Linked DNA regions of Oryzias latipes. The main gene of each other region encodes a partner of the protein of the gene in region 2 in a complex. Links are inferred from orthologs where the notes say so. Each region holds a gene or a part of one and is shown on either strand. Other genes may lie near its edges. The genes, in order: dcp1a and pak1.

Evidence for each region.
Region 1: pak1 (region 2) and dcp1a share a complex: the UniProt entries of both Homo sapiens proteins name them as parts of the cytoplasmic complex. The link is inferred for Oryzias latipes from reciprocal best matches to the Homo sapiens genes PAK1 and DCP1A.

What each region holds. Positions count from the first base shown.
Region 1 is NC_019865.2:7,299,180-7,311,506, forward strand, and holds dcp1a (mRNA-decapping enzyme 1A), read left to right. Parts: upstream 1-4,057; 5' UTR 4,058-4,096; coding exon 4,097-4,228; intron 4,229-4,522; coding exon 4,523-4,563; intron 4,564-5,050; coding exon 5,051-5,178; intron 5,179-7,301; coding exon 7,302-7,368; intron 7,369-7,547; coding exon 7,548-7,686; intron 7,687-7,864; coding exon 7,865-7,945; intron 7,946-8,114; coding exon 8,115-8,684; intron 8,685-8,777; coding exon 8,778-9,002; intron 9,003-9,649; coding exon 9,650-9,730; 3' UTR 9,731-11,336; downstream 11,337-12,327. Other genes in the region: cacna1d (voltage-dependent L-type calcium channel subunit alpha-1D), read right to left, coding at 138-171. UniProt on the Homo sapiens protein: Necessary for the degradation of mRNAs, both in normal mRNA turnover and in nonsense-mediated mRNA decay. Removes the 7-methyl guanine cap structure from mRNA molecules, yielding a 5'-phosphorylated mRNA fragment and 7m-GDP.
Region 2 is NC_019871.2:4,528,146-4,539,890, reverse strand, and holds part of pak1 (serine/threonine-protein kinase PAK 1), read right to left. Parts: coding exon 11,651-11,745; intron 7,911-11,650; coding exon 7,816-7,910; intron 6,356-7,815; coding exon 6,208-6,355; intron 4,834-6,207; coding exon 4,796-4,833; intron 2,733-4,795; coding exon 2,619-2,732; intron 1-2,618. UniProt on the Homo sapiens protein: Protein kinase involved in intracellular signaling pathways downstream of integrins and receptor-type kinases that plays an important role in cytoskeleton dynamics, in cell adhesion, migration, proliferation, apoptosis, mitosis, and in vesicle-mediated transport processes.

The DNA.
Region 1 (12,327 bases), on a different chromosome or scaffold from region 2:
TATTAAGCCAAACAATGAATAAAACCAAACCGCTCTTTGGAACAAGTTATCCTAGCCTTTGCTTCTTCTTGTTGGTCATTGTCATATGATGATAAATGAATTACCAACGCCATAAAGCAACAAATCTCAGGACTTACCCCTGAGGGGTCTTCCCCTTATAATCAACGGCATTCAGTCACCCAGCTCCTCTCTGAAGCCTCATAGCGCCGTTTTCTGGGCCAACTCTCCAACAGGGGGAGAGGTAATGAGTTGTTTCAAGCTCTACGGGAAGGTTACCAGTGATTGGATTACCTATGCCTGGATGCAGGATGAAACTACTTCATGGTAGAGCGTAATCCCTCAACAATAATCCCTGCACCAGTGTTCTATTAAGCAGGTAGCAACAACACTGTACCAAAACAATGATCCATCTCAACCCTAAAAGGCCATGACAGACCCATAACAAGCAAGAGGGTACACACATAAATAGCCGGGCTAAAACTACAGATTGAAGCAAAGTCCAAAATTCTTCTGCCTCCTAACAACAATGTTTTACTTTTATTTAACCCATTATTTCACAGCCATTCCTTAATGCTTTAGTGTGTAGGGTCAGCATTAAAACTCCCCCCCCTCATTTTTCATTTTTAAGTGTAATCGATTGGCTTCTACTAGACAAAATCTCTAAACTTTTGTTATAGTTAAACATTTGTTTTATTTTTTGCTTTCACTGTATTGAATAAACCTATCTTAAAAAGGAAGGAAATTTGTGTTTGATAAAAAAAAAAAACTTCTGTTGTAATATTTTTCTAATCCTCTTTATTTCTAGATAACTTTTTTACAGTCAGCTTCTAATTCAAAGGGTTTTTGAGGAGCCTCACAATCTCAGACCACTCATCAATGCATCACAAAAACATCAGAAATATATCTTACACTCTTGGAAAGTTTGTAAATTCCCAATGTGGTATGTTCCACATTTGAAAAGAACATGCTTTTTTGAAGCATATAGATTTAATCATTTCTTTTTCTTTGTAGCATTTTTGGGGGGGGGGTTGGCAATCAACTATTTAATCTTTTCAAAATTTGCTAAAACCTTTCTGGTGAGGCCAAATAGCTTTAATTAGCCTACTAGTCACTCATTGACTCAGGTGCTTCCAATGAGGTTCCTGATTGGGAGCACCTGAACGCATCCACCCTGCTACAGTGGTCCTTAGCTGTACAGTGCCTGAGCAGTTTAGGTCAACTTTGAGGTAAAGTTCTCAAAAACCAAACATTACATTGAGTGAAAGAATAGAATGGCCTGCATAGTTCTGACTTCAACCTCACTGAGCACTTGTGAGTTTAGCTTGACTGTTCAATTCTCCCAAGTGCATAACACAATCTGGTTTAGGACAAATCCTGGTTAAAGAGTGGGATGCTCTCCCACAGCTGAAGGGATTGCTGTGACATACGCTTCTTTAACACTCCATAAAGACTCGTCTATGAAAGCAATAAACTGTTAAATTTGAATGTCTGGTTATTTCCAACTGTACTCAACCAAGCAAAAAACTTGAGTCATGGCAGAGGAAGCTGGTTGGCAATGGCAAAAATGGAATGACAAAAATTACATAGAGACAGCCCACATATTCAACTCTGCTACTCATCGCACAAATTTATAATTACAGGAAATAATGTATAATTTTAGAGGTCAAGATGGCTTTGTAAAAGTTTTTTTTTTAAATAATTGTTAGACAGGCCTACATAATCTATCCAAGCACATATTTTAAGAATTTGTGCTGGAATTTGGCTCACACATAAGCTTAATCACTTAATGAGGAAGATTTTAAGTTGTTGTTTTTTTAAGCAGTCGATCACATGTAAAAATAAATATAAACATGTTCTACTCATGTTTCAAACTACTTTTCAAAATGTAATTCAACACAGTTGAAGCTGTTACATTGTTCGTTCACTTGGTTATTTTTCACCAATGTTTTTATTTTTGATTTATATTTTGATACGTAAACTAACAATGGAAAGACACGGAGATGCACGTTGTTCTGATTTGTTTTAAATAAAATAAATATAAATTAAGGATTTCTATCTTTCTTCCTTTTTTTCACAGAAGTTGCAGAGTTTAGTAGAAGTTGTTTTTTTATTGAACTTCAAACAAACAAATACACATAGCTACAACAGAAAGAAATAAAAAAAGAATAAAATACAAATAAAAGAACAATTAAAATAAAAAAACATTAAAATTGTAGTTTACAATGCTAGGGGTTGTCATACAACATGTAATCTTCAATGAAAATAGACAGTTTTATTGCATTTTTGTTTTTTATTAATTTCAGAGATTTAAAATATTAACTGATCTCTATATCAACTGTATTAAATAATGGTTTGGTTTTGAAATTCTGCTCTTGTGAATTAAACATTTCCCAGATATTAATAAAGTATTGAATGTCAAATAAAATAGATTATCACCAGAAACCATTCCAAATAATATGATGCGCTTTTGTAATTGAATAGAAATAGGAAAGGGAAACTTTGAGGAGCACCAAGAAAAAAAATCCTCCCAAAAATTGTTAACATATATACATTCCAAAAACAGATGATCAAGTGTTTCTATATTTATGTCACAGAAAGAACAGTTATTTTCTGGAAAACCAAAATGTATACGTAGTAGTTCTTTGCACGGATAGACTGCATTCTTACATCAAAATCACATTTTAGGAGGAATTCAATGCCCCCCAGATGGGAGAAAAAGTTTGAAGGAATATGAAACAAAATATTTATTTCATTTTGCAGAAAAGCCCTAAGCCAATTTATTTTAATCATACTATTCAAACTTTCAAAGTCTATGGCTTTAAATCCACCTTCACTGTAATCCTGAATTATTATTCATTTTTTATGTAATGAGTTTTGTTTTTCCAGATGAAGTTAAAATTGCCCTGGTTTCTTGTTTTCCTTGCAGATTTAGGAATTGGGAGTGAATATGCTGGATAAATGAATCTGGATAAACAATCTAATTTAGTGAGAAACATTCTGCCCAGAATAGAAATGTCACGCTGTGACCACATGTTTAAATTTACTTACAATTCACACTTGCTGAGATTTAGTTTTAAACCAGTTGCTTTAGAATAGGAATCTGCGGTTTGAAAGATCTCCGGTATTTGATGACTCTCCTTCATGAATACGGCCGTGTCGTCTGCCAGCTTAGTAATGGCTAACTGTTCTCCCAGGACATTGAGTTTACAGAAACCAGAGTTTGTTATAAGTATTGATAACATTTCTGTTGCTGTTATAAAAAGCAACGGTGAAAATTGGACAGCCTTGTTTAATTCTTTTGTTAATTAAAAATCTGGGAGAAATGCCATTCGGTGAAATAACTACACTGTTCGTATCGTTATAGATTGTTTTAACAAAACTTATGAAATTAGGTCCAAATCAAAATAATTCTAACTAAAACGTTTATCCAGAACAGATTTAAATTAAACATTGAGACACTTTGTAGCTTTGGTTGTGATTCCCCTGAAACAGTTATCCATCTTTTTTGGTATTGTCCCAAAGTTAAGGTGTTTTGGCAGAAGATGTGTGATTTTATTAATGATAAAATTGATTCTTGTTTTGTCTTGTTTTGGAAAGATGTCTTGTTGGGTCTAATATAAAAAAATATGCAAAAGGACTCTTGTTTACTTCTAAATCTTTTACTCATTTTGGCAAAATTCCATGTTCATAAATGTACATTTTCAGGTAGAAAACCCTGTTTCACTGTATTCTTTTCTAAATTAAATCAGTATATCAACAGTATTCGAAATTCAGAGAAGCAAAAAGCAATCAGAACATTGTCTGTATGTGATAGATTCAGTATTTTTTCGTAGAGTTTAACCCCCTGGCTTATAACTATTTCTAGTCTTGTTCTTCTGTTTGTTACAGAAGTGTATTTGATATTTGCAGTTGTGGTTTTTTTTTCATACCTAAAAGTACATTTTTGTAAAATGGCATAATGTGCAATAAAGTTGAGCTTTAAAAAAAAATAGTGGAAGTGGGGAACTATTTTTGAGCGCCGCCACTTCCGGGGACAAGCGAAGTTGAAAGTGTTTCAAAAAAATTCGTCCGTGTAGGTACAACAGACCGATCCAAGATGGAAACTGTAAGTGCGGGACATATGATGAGCTTAGCAGCTCTTCAAAGACAAGACCCCTATATAAACAAATTACTAGATGTAACTGGTCAAGTTGCACTTTACAACTTTAATTCTAAAGTAAACGAGTGGGTAAGTTCATTAGTTACTTTATGATTTTCTGTGATTCGAATGAGGCTTTATCATCATGTTTACTTAGCTCATGGTGCTAGCCCTCGTTAATCAAAACGCGACAGTAGCACTATGTTCACTAAAGCTTTACCGTACGTGGACCTTTATGCTTCGTTATTTTAGCTAATGCTATTTCTAGTCCTTTCAATTTTTGTATTTTTAAATGTATTTCCTTTAGTTAAACTATTGTTCACAGATTCGGCAGCACCTTTTCAGAACATGTTTTGACTTGTAATGTTATTTTAAACATTTTAGGAGAAGACCGACATCGAAGGCACTCTGTTTGTTTATGCCAGGTAAGATTAGCACTTGAACTCGTAATTTGATTGTTTACTTCATCATTGGGTGCTCTGCGCATGTGCACAGGCCACCGTAGGCGTATTTGTAAACAAATCGAGAAAACTTGCCCCAGCCTAGATTTTTATGTTTACAGTACAAAAAATGAATTTTGCTCATCAAACAATTTGCCAAGAAAACTGTACATTTATGATTTAATATAACTGACTTTTTTTTGCCTCAGAAATTTTTAAATCAAGTCATGTGCATTTATTTTCTGTCTTTTTTAGAAAATCATTAGGAAAATTAACAATAAAACTTGTTTTTAAAAATTGCCAGATTATATTTACCTTTAAACAAAGAATTGTAAAAACTAGAAATGTTTTTATCAATTTTGAAATATCCAACATTTCACTGTCATAAAAGTTTTTTTCAAGTGTTTTTTAATTGCTTTGTCAACAGTAAACAATGAAGCATTATCAACAGAGTGATGTTTGTTCCTTTTAGGTCTGCTTCTCCTTATCATGGCTTCACCATCATGAACAGATTAAGTACAGTCAACCTTGTGGAGCCTATTAACAAAGACCTGGAATTCCAACTGCAGGATCCTTTCTTGCTCTACAAGAATGGCAACTGTAAGTGGTTTGAATAAAAATCCTCATCAAAGTATGGAAGAGTTGTAATCATTAATTTAATTCAAAAGTGCTTTATAATGATGTTCTATTTAAGTAGATTTCAAGGAATAGTGATCTTTTGAAGCTACAAGGTATTCATTAAAACCAGGATGAGGCTGCCCACATGATTATAGAGTGAAACGTCTTGAGTTGAGATGAAGACATGCTGATTTAATGCTTAGATCACATTTTTTGTTGAAAATAGGAAGTCGTAAAAATTTCTGACCACATTGTCGATACAAAATTAGAATAAAGCACAATTCACTGAGTAATCCAGGACATTTTTGCCAAAGTAAAATGGAAATTTTCAAGTTAACTCTTGTTTTTTAAATACGCCGTTTTATTTGCAGCTTTTTTGTCCATTTCCTTTATTCTTTGTGAACCCACCTTAATGTATAAGTCATTGTAGTGCACCGCGGATTCACAAACTGTCAAAAGTGGCTGTCATACCTAGTTTGTGAACAATCTATTGTTCACAAATGCTCAAATAATTCTGACAGTACCTCTGAACATTCTGGATAAACACCTCCCCAGTGTTCGGTGGAACATCTCTTCTCCTTTTTGCTTGAACTCATGGTGACTTCTTGAAGCATTAAGCAGGAACACTTTGTCATTCATGGCCTACAGCGGCCTCGTAAACAAGCGCTTCCAGCTGGTTTTGCAACAGTTATCCTTCGCATTTGGGTCAAAAAGCAAAAAGAGTTCAAAGTTTCATTCATCAAACTTCTTCTGCTATAATTGTTTTAGTTTGCTGATTGTTCAATCCTGTAATTTCCTCCTGGAAAAATGGGTCAAATAGAAAAAAATTGCGCCATACTAGATCTTCAAAAAGTAGCTGACAGCACTTCCACCAAGATAATCAATGAGGAGTCTGAGCAGAAGTTTCATCAAAGCGATGAACAAAGAATTCGACTGCTTTCCCATTTGTTTGCTGATGAGAAAAGTTAGCATAGCCAAGGTTAAAGTCAAAGTGGATTGTTCTCCTTTGGGCTTTGGTTTTCCCAGCAGCCTGGCAGGTATGGAAGCCATGATGCAGTGTTTTGTTGGTGATCCAATATAGTCTGCTTCTCCAGTAGCTTCACTCAAGTCTTCGGGGCTTTTGTCATCGCTTACTTCCTTTCTGTCAGCTTTAGTTTCAAAAAGATAAAATGAAGAGCAGTTTTCTCAGGAAACATTAGCTGATAATGCTCCTTGAGTTGAGGTGAAGATACATCCGTCTTGGCAACTAAGCTTTTCTCTGCAAACGTTAGTCGAAGTGGTTTTTTTTTGTTTGTTTGTTTTTCCGTCGGTTGGTTTTCAGTCCCGTCTCACTCTGTTAGTTTATCCACTTGTTTGGAGAGAAAAATGTTTCTGCGCTTTTTCTCCTTTAGTGTAGGTTTGGCTTTGAAGGTGGAGATTCCAATTCTGATCTTGAAAGTCCTGCAAAAGAACAACCCACCCTCTGAAGGAGAAATGTCACCATCAAAAACGATCAGGATCCAAATATAATTCTCCAAATAAAGGGTTTAAATGTTTACGTTTCGCTCCTGTGAGTGGTGCAGAGCTCACTGCAAATGTGCTTGGATGTGGAGAATAGTGTTGCAGAGAAACACTTGGACACACCTGTTTACACCTCATCCTTTTCCCTTTGGACGCTGATGGTGCTGCAGGGAGGCAAATGTTTTGGTTGCCGGGTTACTGTTGCTTCACAAGAGATTCAGACACCGGGATTTTACAACACACTTGCAACATAAAGTAATAACAACCAGATATTATTTTTACAGTTAAACCTTTTTGTAATTACATTATTTTACATTTCAGTAGTAGTTTGATCTGTGCGATCAAAGTCCTTTCATAAACTTCAGTTTTTAGTTTTCCACATCTGGTTCTTGGAAGAATTCTGTGAACTTCTTTTATTCTATCAGTTTTTTTACCCATTTTATTCAAACAGATGTTTAAACTTTAGGATTATTAAGTAAGCTTTAATATTTGATCTTGTTGTTGTTGAGAACTAATGATTAAATTAATCATTCACAGCCTTTTGGGGTTATTTTTTTGCATTACTGCTTTACCTAACAGAATGTCTGTTTCTATATTTCTTCTAGTGGGCATCTACAGTATTTGGTTCTATGACAAGAGGGACTGTCGGCGCATAGCTCAGCTGATGCTCAAGTAAGTGAGCTGAAATGTACCCAATAAGTTAGTTTATTAATGAGGTAAAACTGTAGGTGAATTCAAAATCCTATTTGCATTAGTATTTCAGACGTGTAAATGTACCAAGGAACCAAATGAAAAGTTTGAAATGATACAAACAGTGCTGTACGGGACGTTTATAGTTGAGTCTCTTTCAGGATCGTGAAACAGGAAGCAGACCATGCTCAGAGAAAGACCCCAGAGAGGACGGAGGCCGCAAGAACCAATGGGATCACCGAAACGAAACCTATTGACATCCTGGAGCTGCTTAGCAAGGCCAAGGAGGAATACCAAAGAGTAATTACAAATAAAGTCTTACTCTGTTTCACCTTTAACTTAACTTTCATTTTTAAAATGTCGACTACTTTGTTTTAAGTGGTCTTCTTGGGGTGTTATTTTTAGTTCTAGTGGACTTTAACGGGTAAGATGAGGCCAATTTTAACTGCATTTTGCTTGATTTTCAAATGTGACGAAGGCCCAGGCAGGGGAATCGGAGATGTCTGTTGACACAAGTGTTAAAGTGGAACATCCACACAGAGCAGCGTCACCCGAAAAGGTATGTGCATCGCACAGGCTTAGTGAGAACCGTAAGTAAGTGAGATTTTGGGACCACAAGCCATTTGACATTTGGGTGATCAGTAAACTGAAAGCACATCTATCTTCATTAGTTCTGTGTCGGTCAGTTGATTGCTTGGTTAACAGAGTTGCTCTCCTGCTCTCATCAGAGTTCTCATACAGTGGTGAAGCAGATCACAGTTGAAGAACTCTTTGGATCGTCTCTGCCTAAGGAAACCTCTCTCTTCAACAAAGCTGCGCAGGAATCCACTTCTTCCAGTGACCTCCCTGCTTTTGTGCAGAAACCAGCGTATCCTGTTTCAGTTCATCAAAGTCCGCTCCTCACAGGCCACGATCCCGGGTCACGCCGGCAACAACAAGCCCCTAATCTAATCCCTTCTCCTTATGCAATGAACCCCGGTCCGGTTTTACAGCATGTGGTCCCACGGCCCGATTCTCAATCCCACTGTTCGGTCCCTCCTCTGATGATGCCTTCAGCTGGTTCGGAGCACCTCGCTGCATCGTCTGGTCTGACCGACCCTGCAACGCCTTCCACAGCCTTTTTGAGAAAGGAAATACTGGATTCAATCAAACCTGTGATCCCTTCTATGAATTCAGACGTCCACAAGCCCATGCTTGCACCCAACTTCATCCCAAACACTTTGGTTCCACCCCACAGCTTCCAGGAACACAACATGGACTTTTTCTCTAAGCCTCCAAACCTCATTAAGCCCATGTCTGTAAGTCCCGATTTGTTTGCTAAACTCATCAATGAGTCTTCTCTACCTTTCTCCCCTCAACATACAAGCAGAGAGCTGTCTTTGTGTTTGCAGACTCTCCCCATGAGTCCAGGTCCAGCCGTTCCAGGGTCAGAGATCTCAGTGCTTCTCTCTCCGAGTGTTTTCCAGCAGAATGTCAATAAAAACCCCTCAACAGCAGCGCCAGCGGTCCCTCCTGCGGCCTCTGAGCCGTCTTCAGCATCTGGAGGAGCTTTAGATTCTCTCCCAACCGCCTGCAGTAGAACTCAGCTCCAGGAGACTTTGATTCATCTCATCAAGGTAACCCAGTGGTATTTGACAGAAAGTGTGATGTTGGGAGGGTCAGAACCTTCTCCTGTATCACACGGTGATAAAAAAAATATTGGAGAATGTTACAGGAAAGCTTTAGTTCCTGTTAGATTAAAAAAAAAGAATAATAACTTTTTGATTATTATTAATTTTTTTTCAAAAATGTCTGGACTTTCACCGTACTTACTTCCAGCTCCAATGAAATGAAGTGGCCATTTTTTCACGATGTGGACGCTGCCATGTTGAAGCCAGACAATGTCAGTAAGAAGCGATTGGTCTTAGTCAGCGTTTCTATGCCAACCACTCTCACCAATCAAGAGTGAGCTTGTTGGAAGTCCACACCCCTACCACTTGAAAGCAGGATGGGCTTCATGAAAACCGTCAAATGTTTGGAACGTTAGACGCGGGGGCCAGTAAGCACCACACTTTATTGAGGCATTTGATTGGCCTTATATAACTTGAATACCTTGCACTACAGAAAAAATCATAGTTTTTAAATGTTAGAAAAGGTAGCAGAGCAACTTCCCAATAGAAGTCGATGGGATTTACTAATGATTCTGTCTTTAAGATATGAATCTAACTTTTTGTTTTGTCTGACTTTAACAGAGTTTGTTCTCTTTTGTTTCTTGTTTGTCCAGACTGACTCAGACTTCCTCAGTGCCATCCATAATGCATACCTGCAGAGTTTATCCAGAGATTTAGTAAACATGAAGCTATAGTCCTCACAGAAAAAAAGCTGAAGATCACAGGAGACACAAGAAAGGATTAACAGGGCATGCTCTACATCGCTAACACTGATGTCCCGGACATGTGGATCAACGTTTATTCTTCTACGATCAGAGAAAAACTTCTTTATGGAACAGATGTGGGAACAAGAAGACAGATTTTTGCTTTTCAGACTTTTCAAAAGAAAAGAAAATGTCAAACCACTGGCCAGATGTTGGTACTTTGTGGTTTCATTTTATTTTGAAGGACAGGACTACCATAACAGACGTTTAGTGAGATCATCGTTTTCTTCTCGTTTGGACTGTTGATTGGTTTTTCAGCTATAATAACAAGTAAACTCTGCTGTGTCTTCTGTTCATCACACAGAATTGTGGAGTTGAAGATTATTAGAAGAGTTATGACATTTATCGTTGATTAAACCATTTTTATGTGATTGTCTAGAAAAGCACTTACAGCTAGAAATCTCTTAATTATGAGAAAGTCCCTATGAATGGGTTCATGTTATGGTTTTGTAGAGGAGCTTCCTGTTGACCCCTCCTTGTCTTCTTGCATCTGTTGTCACATCTCCTTTATGAAGTTGGGGTGTGATGTGTGACAATACCACCACATGGGGCAAATGTATACTACCCTCAGGATTCTGCAGTTCAATTATCATTTAAAAAAACTCCAAAAATATCTGAATTCTCCCAAACAGCTATTTTAAAATTAACCAAAGGTGGAGCAGAGGAGCTTTTGATTGCTCCATCCCAAATATATATATTTTTTTACCCCCCCCCCCGAAGCCAAATGATTGAAAAGAAAAAATCACCTTTCTTTCATGTGTCTGTTTACAGTCTTTTTTATTTTTTTTTTGGTTTTCATTTTTATACCTGGATCATCAAATATTTGGTTGGTGAACTTGACTTGTGTATGTGCGGTAAAAATATAACACAGCACCAAAAAACAATGAAAACTGACCTAATGCTTATTCAAAACAGCTTCCAATATCGTCAAAAATATAGACCGGTGATGCCAGTAAAGAGGACAAATCTTACATCAGTGGTCATAAATGGAAAGAATAAACAAGATTTAATGGACAATAAAGAATTTTAGAAAAAAAATTAAGTTAAAGGTGTAACAACTGAAAGAAATCTCGATTTTCATCTAATTTATTTAGTATAAAAACCTAAACTTTAAGCATTAGTTCAGAAATAAAGCAATGTATTTTGTCTTTTTGGTCTAAAAAGTACACTGACATTTCATAATGATGGCATTAATAGCTTTAGGTCAGCTATTTGGATGTATGTGTTTGCTCTGAGTTTAAAAATTAACATCCATTTGTTTAAAAAAAAACTTTTTCTGTTATTTTGAAATCAATACATGATGTATTGATCTCATTGGAGTATGATACATTTACATTAAAAGCATAATTTGCTCTCATTTTTTGTTAAATAAAAATTGAATAAATGTATTTTTAATCCTGATTTCATATGTTTTACAGTTTAGCTTTAAAATAACTAATGTGGGTTTGTGCTAAATTATTGAAAGACATGTTTTGGTTTTACTCAATTGTTTGGCTTTTTGTGGTGTTAAATTATATAAATGTAAAATTTTCCCAATGCATAATGGTTCTAGAAAAATTCATCTTTACAAAAAGAACATTTAGATTGTTTTACAGAAGGTTTTCCCATAAAACATTGTTTTTATTTTATTCATTTTTAAATCTGGTAAATGTGTTTAATTACATTTGACCACTAGATGTCACTATTACCATGCGTGTTCTGGAAAAGGAAACGCCTCTACAGGGAACACGTGTTCCAAGTCATTTTCATCTCAACTTCAAATTTAAAGGCAAACTTTTTTTTGTTTCCACTGAACTCTTACATTTTTTGTGATTTATATTTAGAAAAGGCTATGTTTTACTGATACTGAGCTAAGTTTATTATCTAGCCCTTTTTTGCATCTTAATTTAGATTCCCATCACTATCCAGGATGTGAAATCTTGCAATTAATTCAACCAATTCGTGCTTTTAGTGCCTTTTACAGTGCTCATATAGATGTTGAAACAGAGAGACAGAAATTAACATTTAAAGACAAAAACATCACCTTATGCGATCAGATAGAAAACAGTGCAAAAGATCATCCCCATCCTACAGCTACAAGAAGACATCTCAACAAGACCAAGAACATCTGTAAACTTTAAAATCTAAGAAAACCTTCTGATAACAGAACCAAAAGACAGTTTCCAGATATTTTATGCAAAAAATGCAAGATGAAAATGAAGAAAAGTAGCCTTAAAAAGAACGACAACAAGGACTAGTGACATCTTATACTTATATCCATCAGGAACCCAAAATTATATCGTTTTTGACTTGACCAGTATTTTTGAATGCAGGGAAACTAGACAACATTGAATAACCCGTTTGAACGGTTGGAATGACCCGTTCAACGGTTAATTCAAACCGTTCAAACGGTTAATTCAAACCTTGAAACAAGTCACACATAACCTTCAGTGAAGTGTTCCAAAATGAAGTGAAGAAGCCGTCCTAAACCACATCCCAACTTTCAACTTAATCTGTAAACGCCCTTAATATTTTCCTTTTTTCCATGT
Region 2 (11,745 bases):
TTTTCCCAGTTCTACTTCTTCCATAGAGAGATAAAATATCACTAATATGTAAAACTACTTGGACATATAAGGCAGAATGAAAGGTTTGTGTCATTTAAAGTAACAATATTTATTTTAAAGGGTCAATAACATGATATTCTGATCCTGTCAGAGGTAACTATATCCATAAATAAGCACACTAAAAAATAATTTTTCATGAAATATGAATTCTTTCTATTGCTCATTGTCCTACCCGGAAATAAGACGCCTCAATCTCTGAGGCTCCGCCTTTCTCTCCTTGTGGGTGCCGCCCATTTCATGACGTCGACCTAGAGTCGGCCTCGGCGGCGTGTCTGCCTTTCTCTCACGAAAACAAACGACATTCGAACTTTTGCAAAGATAGATGCTTATTGTGCAAATGAAAGGAAAACGTTTAGCCGATCACCGCTAGCTCCACAGAGAAAGTGGGCGTGTCTGTTAGCCTGGGGGCGGAGCTGGCAGTGCAGACTCTTCCTGGAAGGGGCGGTTCCTCACTTTGTGATGTCCCAATGTGAGAACCTGCTCCTTTTAAATGGATTGGGAGGGGTTGGAGCTCAGAGAGCAGGTTTTTAGAGGAATACTCAGAAATCCTTGAACGGATCAAAATACGGCTTTGGGGTGTTTTTAGTGAGGAATTAACATTATAATACAATTAAAAGCTCAAAAGGTTGATCTAGCATAGTGTTCTAAGCTGCAATTATGACAAATGTTTCAAAAATATGAAGTTTTATTAGGTTGAGATAAATAATCTGCAAGATATTATTTTTTATTCAAATCGTCAGCAATTAGCACCTGAAACTGACTTACGGCAGCCATGAATAAATATTTTGAAGGTTTTGAAAAAGTGAAGATTGAAACAAAGAGGAAGCGTCATGTGACCTGTGAGCGTTTATCCAGAGACCACACTCCTGAGGAGAACTCGGAGGAAACAAAGGGCTTCTTAGAAAAACCTGGTTCTAAATAAAGCGTTCCCCGTGACCATCACACGCTGAAGCAGTCGTAACGTTGTTGAGACTCGATGAGGCGGAGGACGGCTCCGTTTAAAAATGAAACGGCTAATGAGCTTTGGCTTCCAGAGATCCACTCGTGACTTCAGAGAGCCTCAAACTGTCATATCTAAACATCTATAACGTGACTAAAAGACGAGGAGGAATGCATCAGCAATAGCAGATGTATAAACAGTTCATAAACAATGATTTTTTTAATTGAAAAAATAGAAATAAAAGGTTAAAGAATAATATAATGTCATATCCGGTTGCAATAGTCAGATAAAGTCGCTGTCATGACTCCACCAACATCTTTGAACGAGCATCTATAGTTTTCGTGCCACTTTTTTAAATAATTGAATCCATTTATTGAGTTTGGCATTAATCACATTCTGTTTAGAAAAGTTTTTTCAAATGACTTTAAAGATTTGACAGACAGTGGGTCTGAGAAAGAGACAGGTGGCAGAGATGAAGATGTTGAGGTTCTCTGACCAGGATGAGGAATGAATCCATCAGAGGAACTGATCCTGGGAAGCAGATTGTGATGGTTTCAGAGGAGGGGCAGGGACCATTGATGTAGTGAAGAAGAGCATGGGGATGGTTGGTGTGAATGAGGAGAGGATGATTCCAACGAACACCTTATCAAATGTCAGAAGAAAACCTTCTTGACTCTAAACTTCTTCTATATATTGACTTACGCTGTAAGGGTGAGTAAAAGTGTAAAGCAGTTTTACCTTTATTTTGCATACTTTCATAACATGTTCTCATCAAAGACAGCTATGATAAGCTCAAAGGCTAATTGGAAAAGTTTGTTTCAGTTTGTTTCTTAGCATTTTGCATAACTTTGTGCTTTTTTTTCCTGTGTTTTTAATAGAAGTTGTGAAAATAAATTTTCATCGTGTCATGTATTTTTACAAATGCAAAAACACTTCTGACTTCACATGCATTCCAACTAATACTGAAATATTTTCATCTTTTGATTGAATATTTATGAAAGTCACTTGAAGACCCACTCTGATTAAACATTTTTTTTATGTTTTTAACATCTTGTGGCAATTTTCTGCTTATTGAGGACATATATAAAGAGAATCAAGCATAAAATGTAATTTCTGAGTATTTCTTTAACCAAACTGTTGTGAATCAGGAGCAGAGGAAATTTTCCGTTTGAAAAAGCGCTTAATTCTGATCTTAAAATATGCTAGGTGGGCAAGCTTCATGCTCCAAGCTCCCAGCAAAGGGGAGGGGAAGGGGGGGTGGGCCTGCTCCTTACCAAAGTTTTATTTATTTATTTTTAAATTTCATTCTGTCCAGCAGAGAGAAAGGACGTGAAGGCCTCTTGTGTTGGACAAATTTTACATACTTTTATTTCTTAAAACATACTGTTTAAGCAAAGTATATAAGCACTTCCTGTTACGTTTGTATGAAAACTTCTTTATGAATAAAGTTTTGATTTGATATCAAATGTAGCCAAGTGTGTTTTGAAACAATGTTTTCTTTTAAAACCAATCTGTCTTTTTTTCAAAAGTGTGTAAAATGAAATATACTTTAAAAAGTCTCTACTAAAAGTTTACTAAGAAGTATAATACAAAAAACAACAAAAAAGTAAATTCTTACTGATTTTGTGTGTTCTGGACGGGGCGCAACCACCGGCGGGGGCTCCACCTCCTCCTCGTCTTCATCCTCGGATACGGTTGCTATGGCGGGAGTCTCCAACACGGCTTTGGTGCTCTGCATGATGTCACAGGGGGAGAGAGGGAGGAGCCTGAGTGACGCCATGGCTACATGAGCGATCATCGATACGAGACCCATCATTGCTTCCTGCTGCTCTCTGATGCTTCCTAATCTCATCAGGCAGACATTCCTCCTGCCCGTCTTCAGCTCTTCTTCTCTGGGTCTTATTCAACCCTTTCAACTCTCCCTCCATCTTTTTGTTCGCCCGCCTCCCGTCATCTCCTTTGCCGTCTGAAAGCTCTGCTCAGGTGTGGCTTGTGATGCTACATCTTCCTCTCTTCTTCTCCTCCTCCTCCTCTGTCTGCCCGCGATGCTCGGCTGGTGGCCAAGCTGCAGGGACGGGCAAATGGCGAGGAGACAAGATGCTGATTCATAATGCAGAGGAGGAGACAGAGGAGTACATCTGGAGGAACTCCTGCTGTTCTTCATCGTTGTCTTCACCATTACGTTCAGAAATGAAACAAAATCGAGTTCAAAAGCAGTCTGTCACTGCAAGAGTCTCTGATTAAGGAGCATTCCGACACACAATCAGAACTTTGTTTTTTCCTTTTTTGGCCTCAAAATATAGTTGATATATTTGGTTTAAGATATTTTATGAATGTTATGTAAATATTTAATTTAATTTTGAATCTTTTAGGGCGATTTTTACATCTACCAGCAGGGCTGGGCACATATTTTGACTGGCGGGCCAAATAGGGTTCTAAAATTAAATAGAAGGGCCGGACCAGGAGCAGATGCACGGAGTGAGAAAGAAATAACATGGCATCTGGATGAAAAGCAGTTGGATTTAAAATTATATTTTAAAACAGAGCATTTTAGAGTTTTTAGGTTAAAACGTTAGTTCTCAATTTAGAGCCAGTTGCACCAATGGCTTGATGTACTTCGTGTAAAACTTAGAGAAATGCTGCGTTCATGTGGTGTTTGAATGATTGGAAGATTGAAAAACAACAAACCTTCAAACACCACACGGATGCTAGAGCAGGGGTCCCCAAACGTTTTCGAGTGAGGGTCACAATAACTCTTTTTCTTTAAAACTTTAAACGTCTTTTCAAATCAAATCAAATCAAACTTTATTTATAAAATAGCGCTTGTCTTTCTTTAATTGCGAAGCCCTTGGGGGGCCAGCGGGGATCACATACTTTTTTTTAAGGGAATAAATTTATAACCTGAATAACTTGTGATAAAGAAAAACATATAATTAAAAAAAAGTTATGATTATCAAAAACAAGTTAAAAAAAAAGTATCAGAATAAAATTTGTTTTTCTAACCAATAGCATGACTGAGTAACAGCTATTTTTTTTCAAATGACGTATATGGGATTTTGGCATCTTGGAGCCAGCAGGTACTTCCTGTTCTAAACGTCAGAGGGGCGGAGTCACTCAGTTCAGTTCTCATATACAGTCAATGGGGAAACACTGGCAAGCGCCCCATTGTGATTGCAACTGTTCTACCAAATGGGCTCCCATGTTGAAAGGAAAAGTAGTGATTTCCCTAAATATGCTTTTAAATTCCTTTGAAACACGCGTTTTACCACAATAATATTTAGTACATTACTCTTTAGAGAAATATTTTTCAAAAGAAGTCTGAAAAAGATTTCTTTTGAAATATGTATTGTGGGGAAATTTTAAAAAATGCCTCGTTCCAGCTACAAAATTAGCATTTACGTTTGAGTTTGTTGTCAAACTCTCATTTTATCCTTTCTACTTTAAGGATTGTTCCATTCTGCTTTAGATAAATCCGCTTTCAGGCGAGTCAGCAGATGCACTAAGGACTGAATTCTTTCTCTTAGGTCTACACAACGCACAGCAACCGGCATGAAAGAGATCTGCCAAGCGAGTAATGACCATAATTCCACGCTGCTTTGTGTGAGGCTGTGGAATCCTTGCAGGTTGGTGAGGAACTTTTAAAACCAACAGCATCATGAACTTTGCCAACAGAACTAAGACAAGAAAAAACAAAACATGTCACTTTAGTTTCTGAGTTCTTCTTTTGCTTAATTTCTTACACAAATGAGTAAATGTGTCACGTGTCCTTAGGGAGCGAATCAGAGGCGGTCTTACCGTTGTGGTGGAGGAGCTGTACACGTCTAGGTTTTTATCTGCAATAAGAAAAAGACAAAAAAATTATATGATACATGTTATAAAAATGATCTAAAAGAAACCTAACATCAATTGTGATACAAGTACTAAAGAAATAGGGATGTCCCAATCCGATCACGTGACTGGAATACGGGCGAATCGCGTCGTTTCACACTTTATTGGAGTCAGATGTTGAATCATTATTTCCTTGTTATTATGATCATATATTTCAAGCTTATTACCACAAATAAGTATTCTACTAGAGGTCTGCATATCATGAACAGATTACATTTTATTGGCGTAAAGCACAGCAGGAGGCGCACAAAAACAGTTCGGTAAAGTTAGCAAGATATTCACAGCTTCAGACTTCCAGGCTCCAAAACTCTTAAAAAACGTTCAAAACTGTCATCAAATATCTCTATTGGTTTTTCTTTATGCAAACGAAGAAATAAAAAGATTGAGTTTTTTTATTCCAAGAGGAAACACTGGAGTAAAAAACATCAGAATAAAAATTATCATAAAATAACAACAATAAAAATAGAAAAAGATAAAAATTAAAATAAGATATAAGAATGTTAGGTATTAAAAAATAAAATATGTAAACTGATTAAAACATAACCTTAGTATCATTGGTAAAATAACAATAAAAAGAATAGCATATTAAAAACAGAGATAATAATAGTCCTTACAAATAAATAAATGAATAAATACGTAAATTAATTAATAAATAGATAAATAATAAAAGACATAAGAAATGATCAAAGTCATGTTAAAGCCAGACTAAAAAGGTGGGTCTTGAGCCTCTTCTTAAAAACCTCTAAATACACTACTTAATTCTCAGAATTTGACTATTTCGACTTTTTTCTGGTAAATTTACAACTTTTCTTTGGTTTGTTAACCGGTCCCAAGACTAAGTCGTGAATTTTCTAGTTGATAGTTGAACCTTTTTCTTCACAAAAGTGCTCTGGTTAAGTATTAAATTATAGAAGAAGGTTCATAAAAAAAACTGGGGAAACTCTGATTTTCAAAATAAATTGTTTTAATTTTTTTATTGTGATGCAAAAGTATCTGTATCACCAGGGCCAGTAAAAACTTAAATATTTATTCATTTGCACTTTAAAACAATAACCTGGTGTAAAAAAGATGGATCTTTTCATCCTATGCCCTTTTTAAACTTCTTTTGATCTATATACGCATCAATGTTAATTTTTACTAATAATATTTTCTCCTTATGTTGCTCATTTCATGTCGTTCCAACAGCTCACGTTGGTTTATTCCTCATTTGGGTTCTGCAGCAGCCTTATAATGAGTTTCCATAACATGAGCGTAAATCTTGTTTAGTACTGACGCACAACCCCCTATGTGTGTGTGTGTGTGTGTGCGTGTGTGTGTACCTGTGAAGCTCATGTATTTCTGGCTGTTGGACGTCTCCTTGGAGTCGTAGAACTTTAAAACATCAAGCACGGCCTGAGGATTCTTCTTTTGCTCCAACTTGGTGATGTTGGACGTCTGCAGCAGCCGGGCCCACTGCTCCGGCATGCCCTACCACAACACACAAACACACAAACACACTTTACCTGCTGCTGTGTCATGTGTTTGATGCCAATAAAGGCAGATTTGAATCTTTTATTTTGATAAATCAACATGACGTCAGGCAAAGTTTCCCATAAAGAGTCCAACCGAGGCGGTCCCATTTTCATGTTGGACACAAAACTGGGTCACATCTCCTTGTTTTCCTGCTCGCTCTTCCTCTCTGCTTATCTGTCAGGATAATTCCATCACACATTCTCCTCCATTTCCTGCTTCATCACTCCGTCTCTCATCCCTGCTGGAGTCTGACCTTCCCTTTATGGGAAAACGCCGTCCCGGGTTCCGCTCTGCCGCCGTTGTTACTTCGAAAATTACAAACACGCCTCTTTGCGTGTACATGTGTGCATAATTGAGAATCAGGGGAAGTGCCCCAGATTACAGAAAAAGAAAAACTCTAGCGCGCGCACACACTCGCTGCGTAACTCGGAGCTAAAAGTGCTTGGTCATGCAGACCGAGTGAGTCAGCGGAACAAGGCGTCTTTGTCTAAAGTGATTATTTAAAAAGCTTTATTCTGCCCCTATGTGTGTGTGTTTCAGAGCATGTTGTTGACAAACACACAACCATCAGGGTCCCATTGGTGACCAATTAAAAGAGTTATGTAAGCACACCAGACAAATGTGCACAGACACACCGCTGCCGCCTCCAGCGAATCCGTTGAAGTATGAACACATTTGGAGGAGAGGAACGAGAAAAAGAAGATTTTTGATTTTTAAAATGTCGGTTTAATCAGGGATCACAGATAACAAGAAAACAAGCAGCATAACATAGTTCACCACAGGACACAGAACAATGAACATAGTTAAAGTACCATTAAAACTGGACATTTCAGGGACATCCTGAAACCTGGACCGAACAAGTCCCCCCCCCCCCCCCCCCCCCCCCGAGTCCAGCAGGCGCGCCGAAGTCAACTTTTTCAATTTGAGGAGTTCAATATATCCTGGATTTTCAGTGGATTCAATCAAAGATTCCACAGCCTCCAATAAATCTACAGTAATCGTGCGCAACGTTGAGAATGCACTGCTGGTACAAAAGCTCAATTTATCACGGCCCCACCGTTGCCCGAGAGATCTAAAATGTCTACAAAGAAACTCAAAACATCCTTAAAACCAGCATCAAACGTTGAAACAGAATTAAAAGGCCACTACGCACTTCTTGGTGCAAAATCCTTCACATAGAAGACACAAACCACTGACCAATGGTCAGTAAAAGTAACAGGAGTCAAAAACATTCAAATGAAGCTTAAAACAATAAAAAACCATCAAGACGGGCGACAGAAAACCTGCAAGTGTATTTCTTGCAGTCTGCATGCAGCCTTCTCAGAGACCCCCCCTCCCCCCACCACCTGCCCCGATCCACGCACCTCGACGTCATCAACGGCCCCAACGGAGGAAGAAGAAGCGCACAAACTCACTGTAAACTCCCCGGTGACGGCATCGAAGCCAACGTGGATGGTGTGCTCAAAGTCAGACGGCAGAGAAATCTCTGGACGCTCCTTCTTCTTATAGGCTGAACCAAAAGGACAGAAAGGGTATCGTCAGACTGAAAGATTTGAAAAACAAAGTCATGGAAAAACTTTAAAGAAATGTTATTCAGTGCCTTGTAAAAGATTGTTGAAAGGAGGATTAATAAGGAGGCAAAAAAGAACCTAATATAGCACATTTCTGAAAGAAAACTCACAATTTCAGTCATTTTTAGTGAATATACTGTAATAGATGCCACAGTTTCGGTTGAAAGGTGAACCATATGATACATCTGCACTGTGGGGGAAGCCTTTGGCTGCATCCATACTGCATACAGACGTTTAGGTTAAAAGTGTCTAACAGTTGTGCTAAATTTAACAAGAATTCCTTATCAATTACGCTTCTCCAGGCTTAAAAAGGGCTTTTTTCATTGCTACCGACTTATTTAGCAATGATAAAACAGTATTTTTCAAGTGTTTTGTCATTTTTTTTGTTTTTAAAAAAAAAAATCATACATCGAACCTCAAACAAAACAGTGAGCCCAAAAAAATAAAAAATAAAAAATAAATCAGGGTTTAAACCGAATTGTGGAGAAAGTGAATTATAATTATTGGATCCCTAATGGATACACATACATACATAACAAACCAAAATGGTTCTACACGACTGAGAAACAAACAAAAAAAGGCTTTCCTAAAAATAAAGATTTAAATAATTTAAATAATGACAAAAACAATATAAGAAAAAAATATAACGCAAAATTAAATAAAACTTCTGACATAAGGTATTAAAATAAAAGGAAAGCACAAAAGAGAAAGCTTGGAGATGAAAAGGACAAAGGAGACGCCATATGTTAGAAATAGAATGAAATCCCCTGGGAAATGACATTTCATGGAGTCTCCTGGGATGACAAACAATGAGACAAGGCCACCAGTCAGCTGCAAAGCATCATGGGTCAAATGTCATTAAATTGTGCATTTTTTTTTGTTTTTTACATATTTGAAAGAGTTAAATTCATAAACAAACATATCGGCTGACAAAGATGGCCCCTGAACATGCTAAACTCAGTACTACTAGAGAAAAATATAATTGACTAACTGCTTAACTGTTAACTGATTAACTGCTGATCAAACCATCTTAATGGGACTGACGGCACAAAACGTCTATTTCCTCTGCAAACAAAACACTGACGTGTTTTAGAAATCAGAAGAAACCCAGAAAGAAAGAAAAGAAAAACAGGAACCTTTTGAACTTTGGCAGCTGGAACCTATAAAGGAGAGATTTTTGAAACTTCAAATAAATATAAAACTTGTGACTGTGTAACTAAAATAATACGGCTACAACTTAAAGCTTATTAGCGAAATTCACAAATGATCTCAATTTCAGTTTCATCTCCTCTTACGACAACAACATTTCTATCCCGTTCAACATAAAAATACTCAAACTTTTATTCTGCTTGCGCACTAATTATTTTCTAAGTAAATGCACAGAAACAATACGGATTATTATTAATTGTCATCAGGAGACACGGCATTAACGTTCATAGCTATGCTGATGACACTCAGCTGTTTGTAGCTGGGTCTCCTGACGACACTGGACCCATGGATGGCCTTTTAAATTATATTTTAGATAAAAATGTGGATGGGAGGGAACTTTTTGCCTTCCAACCAAGACAAAACTGAAGTCTTGGTAATCGGTTCTGAAACTGAGAGAGATGAGATCCAATTTTATCTGTCAACCAAATTTATGACCATATGTGATAGAGCAGGGGTGGGCAATTATTTTAACTCGGGGGCCACATTGGGTTCTAAAATTCAATAGAAGGGCCGGATCAGGAGCAGATGTGTGGAGTGAGAATGATATAACATGGAATCTGGGTGAAAACATTTGGATTTTAAATTTATATTCTACAGAATATTCTAGTCTTAGTTTGAAACTTTTGTTCCCATTTTAGATCTCTTTTTGATTGTGAAGCCCGTTGGTACCTTCAAGGAGTTGTAAAGTGCTATTTGAATAAAGTTTCATTCATTCATGATCCTTTTAATAAAATAAATAACATTATTTATAAAATAAAACAATGACCAAATAACACTATGATTTTCAAAGACAAAAATTCAGAAAAAATATACTGATACATTAAAAATAATAATAATAAATAAATAGTCGATCCTTTCCCGTCATAACCCTAATAAAGACTTTGAGGGCTGCAGCTCATCACTCGTCTCACAGTTTGTGCTCAAACTGAGCAGTTGTGTGTCCTGCACGTCTGTTTCTCATCCATTAATAATGAAAAGCATATTTCTCTGTCTTCTGCTGCAGCTACGCATATTTCTGCATTTTCTGCACAGAGTTCCTCGTTTCTTGCAGGAGGAGTTACGTTCTAAAAATAACGGTGATCTGTGAAATCCACGGAGAATGATTACAGACGTTTATGGCAGTAAAACTCCTCACTGCCCACTTTATACACTTTTCTCAGACAGACATGAACATTTTCACCCTTTTCTCTCTTGTGTTTAAATTTTCAAACCTTCATAGAAATTAGGTCCAGGATCTTAGAATGAAAACAAAGATCTGATCATCGATCACAGATTTCTGATCTGAAGAGCTCTGCGTTTCTGTACAGAAGACTCGGCATGGACTGAGGAGATTGATTGACAGGGTCTCTAGCCAATAAGGACAGGTGTCCTGTTCAAAAAAGTCAGCATGATCGCTCTATAGGAACGAGCTAAACCGGGAAAGATGAACTACGACATAGAAAGGAACGACTGTCTTCTGTTCTGCCTATTAGAGATTTTAGAGGATTTCAGGTTGGACCACAGACTGCAGAAGGGGGGAAGAAAATGTCACATCTTGATCGTGTGGCCAGATTAAAAAAACAAACAAACATGGGTCTCTGATATTGTTCAGTGGGCCGGACCAAACATAGAGGGGGGCCGGAACTTAAAGACCTATCTATTTAATTCACCTTTAAATTAGATCTTCTATGGCGGATCTAAACATTTTACTGTTATATTTTATGATATTTTACTACATTTTTATTTGTTTAATGTGTGTTTTTTATTATTTATTTATATTCTCAACATCTTAACTTATTCTTATTTATATTTCCATGGTTTTAGACTTTGTATGCATTAACTTATTTTAATTTTTTATATTTCAGCTGTTTTTATATTTTAACTTTTCTATTTATCACTTCTACATTTTAGACAGTTTACAAGTGTTTTCTCCCCCTTTGCTGGGGGGTTTGTGTCTATTGACACCCAGGCCAACAGGAGGACAGGGCACTTTATTGGTTCTCTCTTCTTAAGGTTTTTTCTTCCAAAGTCGTTTCTCTTTTCCTTGTGCTTGTTTTTGTGTATTCTATTATGAGGGGCTTATTTATTTACTTTTTGCAGTGGTGTTTTTGCATTCTTGTCTGTTTTTATGTACAGCTGTTGTCTTTACATGAAAGGTGCTATAGAAATAAAATTAATTTGAATTTGAATTATTGTTTTATTTACTCTTTTATTATATTTATTTGATACAATTTAAATAAAGAGTCGGCATGGCTGGTAAAGAGCGGGAAAAAGATGCGTGTAGCAGCCGCTCAACCAGGGCCCGGGTCAAAGCGTTGGTAGCGCCTGCAGGCCAAACAACGCTGCTCTCAACGCTGCTTTAAAGGTAGGTTTCATTGAAATCCTTAAGTTCTCTGTTTTTGAAATGGATTTAGAACCAGATTCAAGCTGGTTTGAGTTTAGTTTTAAAATCTATGAGTAGAAAGAAATGAAAACAGTGATCAAAACTCACTTTTGTCGCCTCCGCCCGTCAGGATGAATCGGATGGAGCGGTCCTTCTTATTCTTCTTGTCCTCTGGGTTTGGTGGGAGGGGTTTGGAGCCGTGG